2 linked regions of the Arabidopsis thaliana genome follow. The protein of the gene in region 1 interacts with the protein of each later gene in a pairwise test. Each region holds a gene or a part of one and is shown on either strand. Other genes may lie near its edges. The genes, in order: MYB31 and AT3G56520.

What was found.
Region 2: the proteins of MYB31 (region 1) and AT3G56520 interact in a two-hybrid assay, tested with the Arabidopsis thaliana proteins (one large-scale study listed by BioGRID).

What each region holds. Positions count from the first base shown.
Region 1 is NC_003070.9:28,038,999-28,043,573, reverse strand, and holds MYB31 (myb domain protein 31), read right to left. Parts: upstream 2,429-4,575; 5' UTR 2,082-2,428; coding exon 1,949-2,081; exon of another isoform or gene 1,852-1,948; coding exon 1,722-1,851; exon of another isoform or gene 1,551-1,721; coding exon of another isoform or gene 1,531-1,550; coding exon 801-1,530; 3' UTR 553-800; downstream 1-552.
Region 2 is NC_003074.8:20,946,575-20,949,804, forward strand, and holds AT3G56520 (NAC (No Apical Meristem) domain transcriptional regulator superfamily protein), read right to left. Parts: upstream 1,158-3,230; coding exon 989-1,157; intron 892-988; coding exon 533-891; downstream 1-532. Other genes in the region: NAC064 (NAC domain containing protein 64), read right to left, coding at 2,337-2,726, 2,816-3,084, 3,171-3,230.

The sequences.
Region 1 (4,575 bases):
GAGTGGTGGCTGCTTATATTTAATGATGATTAGCCAATTTTGTAGGTTACATGATTTCAAAAAACCAATTACAAGAAAATCATACTATAGTCGTAGACTTTTAATGATTTCCCCCAACCTAATCGTCATTAATGCTCGTAGTCTTTAAAGATTTAACGATCGAACACTGAATTAACAGCATTCTTTCCGCTAAATAACACCGTTCACACTTGAAAATAATAATCAAGATCGTAAGTCTGACTTGACATATTTGTTTAGCTATTGATATCGTAAAATCTAGCGAGTAGAAAAAAAACATTGCAATCGAGTATTCACAAGACTAAATGGCAGTGCTAATAGAAACTAAATATAATAAATCCATATATCATATATATTTGTCAATGACAGAAAAAAAAAATCTTCGACAGTTCATGTAAAATAATTAATCATCGGATGAATTTGACCAGTGATATCGCCATGTCATCATTAATAAAATTTGCTACGTTACAAATTTAATTCTGAAAGATATAAATTCAACAAAACACAAAAAATTAGTTGTTTTTGTCCTCTTTGTTTTTGACCCAACCGAAAAACTTTAGTTTATTCAACTACTCTTAACTTTATAGTACTTTACATATAAATAGTATATCACAGTTTGATCTTCATCGACTTGACCACAAGCAAGCCACACAGTAAAATAAAATGTAACTAAAGATCATAGAGAAAAGACAAAAGAAAGAAAAATTAATAAACCTAGCTAGCTTTATCGTTGTTCTATACGTTTTATTTTCTTATAGAACAAATCTTGACTGTTGTTATCATTATTTTAACTCCTCTAAAGACACGTCGATGAGATCTTCTTGACTATCATCACACTGAACCAAGCCTTGATCATCAAACAACCATTTCTCGATCAATGACAACGAGCCTTGATCATCAGTAGTAGTAGTAGTAGGTGTAGCTTCCATGTCTATGTCTGGCTTGCTCTCACCTTTGAACATGCTTGTCTCGGACATCAAATTCAGCTTCTCATCAACTGATCCAGATTCTGAATTCGATGAGAACAAAGAGTGATGATCAAAAAGTCCTCCTTCACCGGGGCTTGAGCTCCGGTTGTTGGAGACTGATGAAGTGTTAGGCTTTGACGATGATGAGCTTGTCCAGTTCTGGAGTAATTTAGAGATGTTATCTGTGCTTGAGGCATAAGTGGTGGTAGAATGATGATGAGGTTTTGGTGAGTCAGGATCGGGAGGGATCAATGAAGATGGTTGGTCAAGTGACAAGGCTTGGAATAAGGCTTGTTTGGCCATGTTGATGTCTGTTTGAAGTTTTTTCTCCCATTGGCCTTTGTTGGTGGTCCTTTTGTTGTGATTACATCCATTGTTGTTATTATTACAAGACGAAATATCTGTTGCCAGATTGGTTTTGTTTTCGTTGATGATACCATTTTGAAACTTCATCATCACTAGTTTCTTTTTAAGATGAGTGTTCCAGTAGTTCTTGATATCATTGTCGGTCCTCTGAGGTAGATATGATGCTATAGCTGCCCATCTTATTTTCAAAGTGGACATCCAATCAAATAAATAATAACAAAAAAAACACTAATAAAATGAAATGCTAATACTCTATATAATTTATATTGTTAATTAGGAGATTACGGAAGATGGACAAACTTAGATATTGGAGATCAACGTGAATCAATTTAATATAAAACAGGGAGAATTAAAGGAGTAATTCCATACCTATTTCCCAAAAGAGCTTGAAGGTGGATGATCATCTTCTCTTCCGGTTGAGTGAAATTTCCTCGTTTGATCCCGGGACGAAGGTAATTAGTCCATCTAAGTCTGCAACTCTTGCTACACCTTAGCAAACCTGAAACATATATAAATATTTATATATGTGGAAAAATCTTATAAGAAAGATATATAAGAAGAAGAAAGAAGGAGAGTGAATGAAGATATATAAAGACCGGTGTTTGCAGGGACAGATCTCCAATTTCCAGGGCCGTGTTGTTGGATATAAGAGACCAAGATTATGTCTTCTTCGGGAGTCCATGGTCCTTTCTTCACCTCAATCTTCTCGCAACAAGGTGGTCTACCCATATCCTCACGCACACGCTCTTGATCGTTGAAATAGTACTTCGTGTGTGTGTATGTGTAAGCTATATAGTAAGTACTCTAATAAGATTGGATTTTTGGTATAGTGTCTCTGTGTATGTAAGCTAGATAGTAACTAGTAAGACTCTAAGATTGGATTTTTGTGAAGAGGGTCTACTCAAAATCTCTCTTTGGACTTGAAATAGTCATCCTCAATTTCTTTCCTTCTTTGAATCTTTCTCTTTATTTTTTTGGCTTCTTACAAGAGAGGTTTCACTAAAGACTTTGAATGTTGAGGAGAAACACAAATGTCCAAGTCTTATGGGTTGTTGTTCTTTGGATCTATATGCATTGAAATAAAGACGTACATATATTTAAACCAAAACGAGCACTAGTGCATGAATGTCAATTTTATCTTTATTTTGAAGAATTTAATTTATTTTTTGTCTTTATATATTAACATATGAAAACCTTAATTTCTTTTTAAATTGTGACCCCTAAAACCGGTTTTAATTGCCTACGAAGTTAACCGCAACACGTAAATATTGACAGAAAAAAAAAAAAATCTTCTACGTGGCTGCTGAGCCTAAATAAAAGCCTTTGAAGGGAATCGAGTCAATAGAGACAGCGAAGAGCATTAACTCATTTTCCGTTGCTTGTTCAAAAAGTCAGCCCTTCTCTTCACTTACGTGGCTATACTTAATCAAAGGGTTGGCACTGCAATTACGAGTCTTTAGTATTTTACCGATTATATAGGTGAGATTTTATATGCTTAGTGTTGAGAAATCACAATCAGTCTATTCTCCAAAAAGTTTCCTTGTCTTCTCTTCTCCTCTTTAAATTTTATATGCGTTAGTAGTGTTGAAAATTGGATCTAAAGATTCGCTAAGTTGGTAAATTTATTCGATTTTCGATTTTAACACTGACCAAAAATAAAACAAATCGAAAGAGCAAAGAAGAAGAATGCACCATAGTTTAAGTTCGGTGCAAAATCCAGACATCATGGCAAAGGTTTTCCCTCATGCAGATTCCATCCAACTACCATAATACATAAAGATTACAAGTTTTTATCCAAAAAGAAAAAAAGAAGAAGAGGATTATAATTAAGTCAAACGTTTCTCTCAAGTTTCATCACTAGTCTCTCACGAAGATCAGATCAATCTTTTATAGAAATACAAAGATTGAGGTACAAAAATCAGAGCAAAAGAACGGTATTTCCTGGCAAGGTTCATCTCTTTAGGTCTTACATTTTGTAACACCACAACTTTTTTTTTTTTTTTTTTTAACACCACAACTTTCATTTAATGATATTTACTGTCTTAGCAAAAAAAAAAAAACGGTATTGCCCACAATCTGTTACAACGAAGAAACGATTCTCCTCACGCTTTGTACCACATTATCATTTTGAATTGAAAAGGAAACGGTTATGTACGAAATACTATTATTTATCAATTAAAAATTGACGACTTCCAAATTATTTAAATATTTAGTTTTAGGCTAGAAATTATTTTCACTGCTATTATTTATCAATTAAAATTAGTAATTTTACCACTATTTTATGTCTTGCATATTTTTAATCTTTAATCAACCGTAACAATATATCATCATTTGTCAATCGTTAGTTTTCTAACCGGCCTGTATGTATTCATCGAACCTTTTTTTTTTGTCATCGAACCTTATTTTTCCATAATCCAGTTATATAAATTAAACAAGTAAAAGTGAAATACGATGTGATATGAGACCTAAGAAATACTCCTATTAATTAAGCCGAATATAAATACAGCTTTTACGTCTTCTTTATTTTAATTGGCGGCCATGCCTGATAGGCCTATAGTGTTATTAATAGCTTCAAAGAACAGCTGTATCCTTGTCGTAACAAAGATGACGGTGTTACATATATTGATAACATAACAATTACGATTAGTATTTTTCTTTTTCCTTTTTCTTTTGGGGGTAAAGAGCAATTTCGATTAGTATACTATCAAAACTTTATAACAATGATGAAATAGCTAGCTTTTTGTTTTTGTTTTGTTAAACAAATAGCTAATTTAAATTGTTTATTATTTTAAAATAGCTCTATACAAGAAACCCGGCCCTATCGCATCTAATTCACGTATTGTTCACTTTAATCTGATTTATTTTTGTTAGGTGTTTGTCTAAAGATTGGCATGATAACGTCCACGTTCTTTTGTTCATAGAAAAAAATCTGATCCACGTTTACTTTTCAAATGACATTCTTAGAACTGCATTATTCAAATGTCTAGTCAATCTATCAAATTAAATGGTACATCACTTTATAGTTTAATCAGTTACTATTTCTATTTTAGTTGTTTTAAGGTTAGTAAGTTTTCATTTGAACTGTCTGAAATCGAGATATTGCTACATTATTAAAAAAAAATGATTACATGTATTTTTTGTTTAGTAACGAAATAAATTTAGACCAAAATCTAGAATAACATCTAAAATATGTAGATATTTGCTATATAATACATTCATAGAG
Region 2 (3,230 bases), on another chromosome or scaffold:
TACCGAAAGTGAGAAAGAAAAAGAAGCTAGTGCCGTCGGCGAACAACTAGTACTCTCCGTTCGGAAGAAGAAGAAGACGGTGGTGTGTAAAACTTCGTTCGCTTGTTTAGGGTTAAATAAATCCGGTTCTTGTAACGATAATGTACAAAACCGGTATTCTTGGTATCCGGTTATCGTTATTTCGGTTAATCAGGTCAAATCACATTCGGGTTATCGACTTATGAGTAGTCTACAGAACCTGAATTCTGAACTTTGTTGCTGAAATGTTTTTGTAAAACGATATTGTAATGTTTTGATTAGTGTTAGAGAGGCTAATTCTATGCAACTGGCCCAACTCTCGTATTAAAAGTTTGGAGATGTTACTTATTAGTGAAAAAGTGAGAATGTTTTAGATCTTTTAGTCAAAACTCTTTACAATCCAACCAACATGTATATATATATATATATATATATATATATATATATATAAAGAAGAGAAGCTAAGGTGCAGAGAAGGAACTGGAGGTCATATAGGATCAAAAACCTTTGCAGTCTATTCGGATTCGGAATCGATTGTGGACAAATCAGTAGTTTCGGGTTTAGTCTTCTTGCCAAAAATATGGCATAAAACCCAATCAGTATTCGCTACTGTTTGTGGGAGGCTAATTTCATCCATGAACCAATTATACTTTAAAGCTTCTTCATCATCAGATAAACAAATATTATCAGATTCTTCTTCTTCTTGCGCAATAAGAGTAAACCGACGCTTAATACCAACTAATGCATCATTATTCTTTGGATCTAGCACATTGGTTTCTTCTCCGATTGGTGTCCAGAGATTATGAGAGTTACTAGTAACTTGGTTGTCACGTTTTCTGCAAAAATAGTACCAATGTTCTTCACTTGGATAACCTGAAAGAAGGAAACAAAGAAAATTCAGTTGGCTCTTTCACAGGATGATTAAAGATGGACATTGTCTTTATAAAAGTTTAGATCCACGAATTCTCACCAGGCAGATCATGCGGATGTCTTGAGAAGATATCATGACACTCTTCAGGTATCGTACGAGCTTTCATGGGTTGTCCTAAAGCTTTTTTCTTCAAAAAATAGTTTGAAATCTCACAGTTTGTAGAACGAAACCTGAATCCTACGGGCAAAGCTCTGTGTGTTGGCTCCATTCTTAGCAAAAAAAAGAAAAGAAGAAGGTGAAATTGTGATTGAAGCAAACTGAAACTAGAATTCTAAAAGCTTGTTTATTGATCGAGGATGAATAAAAGTTGCTATGGTGAGCTACCTATTTATAGATCCCATTAATAAAAAGTAGTCCTTTTTGTTTAATAATTAGTAGCTTAAAATTAGAGTAAGTAAACGTTTTTTTAATTTTATTTTTTTAATAAGATACATAAAGTTTTGTTTTATTTATCTTATTTATAATTTCTTTTTTAAATAGCTTTTTTAGTTATCTTATTTATAATTTTTAATTTGTAATTTCACACAATTATTTTTTATAGTTTTAAAATTAATAGAAGGAAATTTTCTTTTTACAAATGTCAAAATCTAAGATCAATAGATTTGACACATGTCACAATCTTATGAGTTACTAACTTTGAAAACAATATTTTATATGAAAATAAAAGATAGTTATGAAATGAAAATTTTTAATACTTTTTCCCCCATAAAAAGACTTGATTACATTAAGAATAAAAGATCAGTAATAACTAATAACTATTTAGTACTTCAACAAATTGAAAAAGTAGTTAGTCAAATAAATAAAGATTGATTTTCTATCTTCAAAAATCAATTAAGAAAAGGAAAAGGAACAAATTATATTGAATAAAAGATATTGATTGTATTGTAGTAAGGAAATATAAATTGCAAATAACTTTCTGTTTTGAGAAGTGATTCATTTAATGGGGGCAGAATTAATTTCTTAAAGAGGGCAGTCCATTAAAATATTAAAAATTAGAAATTTTGGGGGTGGCACTGTTGCGTGCTTATAAACTAAACAAATGTTTAGAGGAGGAAATGAAGAAGAAGAAGACACCGGTGTTTTATATTTGTATGTGTTAGTTTAAAACGGTAAGAAAATGTTGGACAAATTGTGTATAAATGTTTTATATGATCAAGGCATCAAAAGCAATAAAGACAGGGAGAATTATCTCTGGTTTTGAAAAACAATGCCGATAGCAACTAATGAAATTTTAGCAAAAAAACTAATGAAATCTTCTCTCTGTTTTCTTTCTGATAACAAAACTCATAAAGGCACAAAAGCTAGATCAGTTAGTTTTCTTTTTGTTTTTGGTGTTTGAAAACAAAAACCAAAATGACAAAGTATGAGCAGATTGAGATCAGTTAGTTTAATGTTTTATCATTCCTTCTGTGTCAAAGAAGCCTTCAAACAAACCATAATTGTTGAATTCTTCATCTCCATCCAGTGAATGTGGTTTAGTGAATTCAGCCAAGAAATCTTCAAAATCGTCTGGGATCATCACTGGTTGCTGTTGAAAGCTGATCAACTCAGAAAAGTTATCAGGAAAAGGCTGCGGCTGATGATGTTCTGGAAGTAAACAATACTGCGGTTGATACACAATATCATGAGGCTGTTGCAGCTGCAATTGGTCTGGTTGATTCAAATCCAGCTGCTCAACGTCTTCTTCTTTCTTCAGCTTCTCATTCTCTGCTTCCTCAGCTTTCTTCTTCTTTGCTGCCGCTGGAGTCAGATAAATCTTGCACAAAGCATGATCCACCTATACACACCAACCAAAACAAAACACAATAAATCCAAAAGTCACGAATCCTAATAACTTGGAATCCAAGTAAAGACACTTACCCTCACCTTCTCGTTGTTGTTATCATCAGAAGACTCAAACCAGTACTCTTGCATTAACCAATCCCCTTTGACACTATTTGATTGTTTCCCAACATAGTACTCTAGTGAAGTCTTGTAGCCGACTATGCCATTTCCAGCGTTGATCTTTTGGGCAGCTACAGTTGCGCTCCAATATCCTCCATTGTCGACACGTTTATTACTTCTTCCAGCCTTACCGGTCTTGGTCCTCTCCGATATATAGAACCAATCTTTATCATTACCCTTCTCATATTTCTCTGTATTGAATTCAAAAGAACAGAGCCATTTATATACATAAACCACGATTAGAGAATAAAGAACAGAGCCATTGACGGAGACAAACCTGAAAGATGTTGTGGATTTGACTCGTAGATGTTCACACGATGGATAGGAACATTGAGCA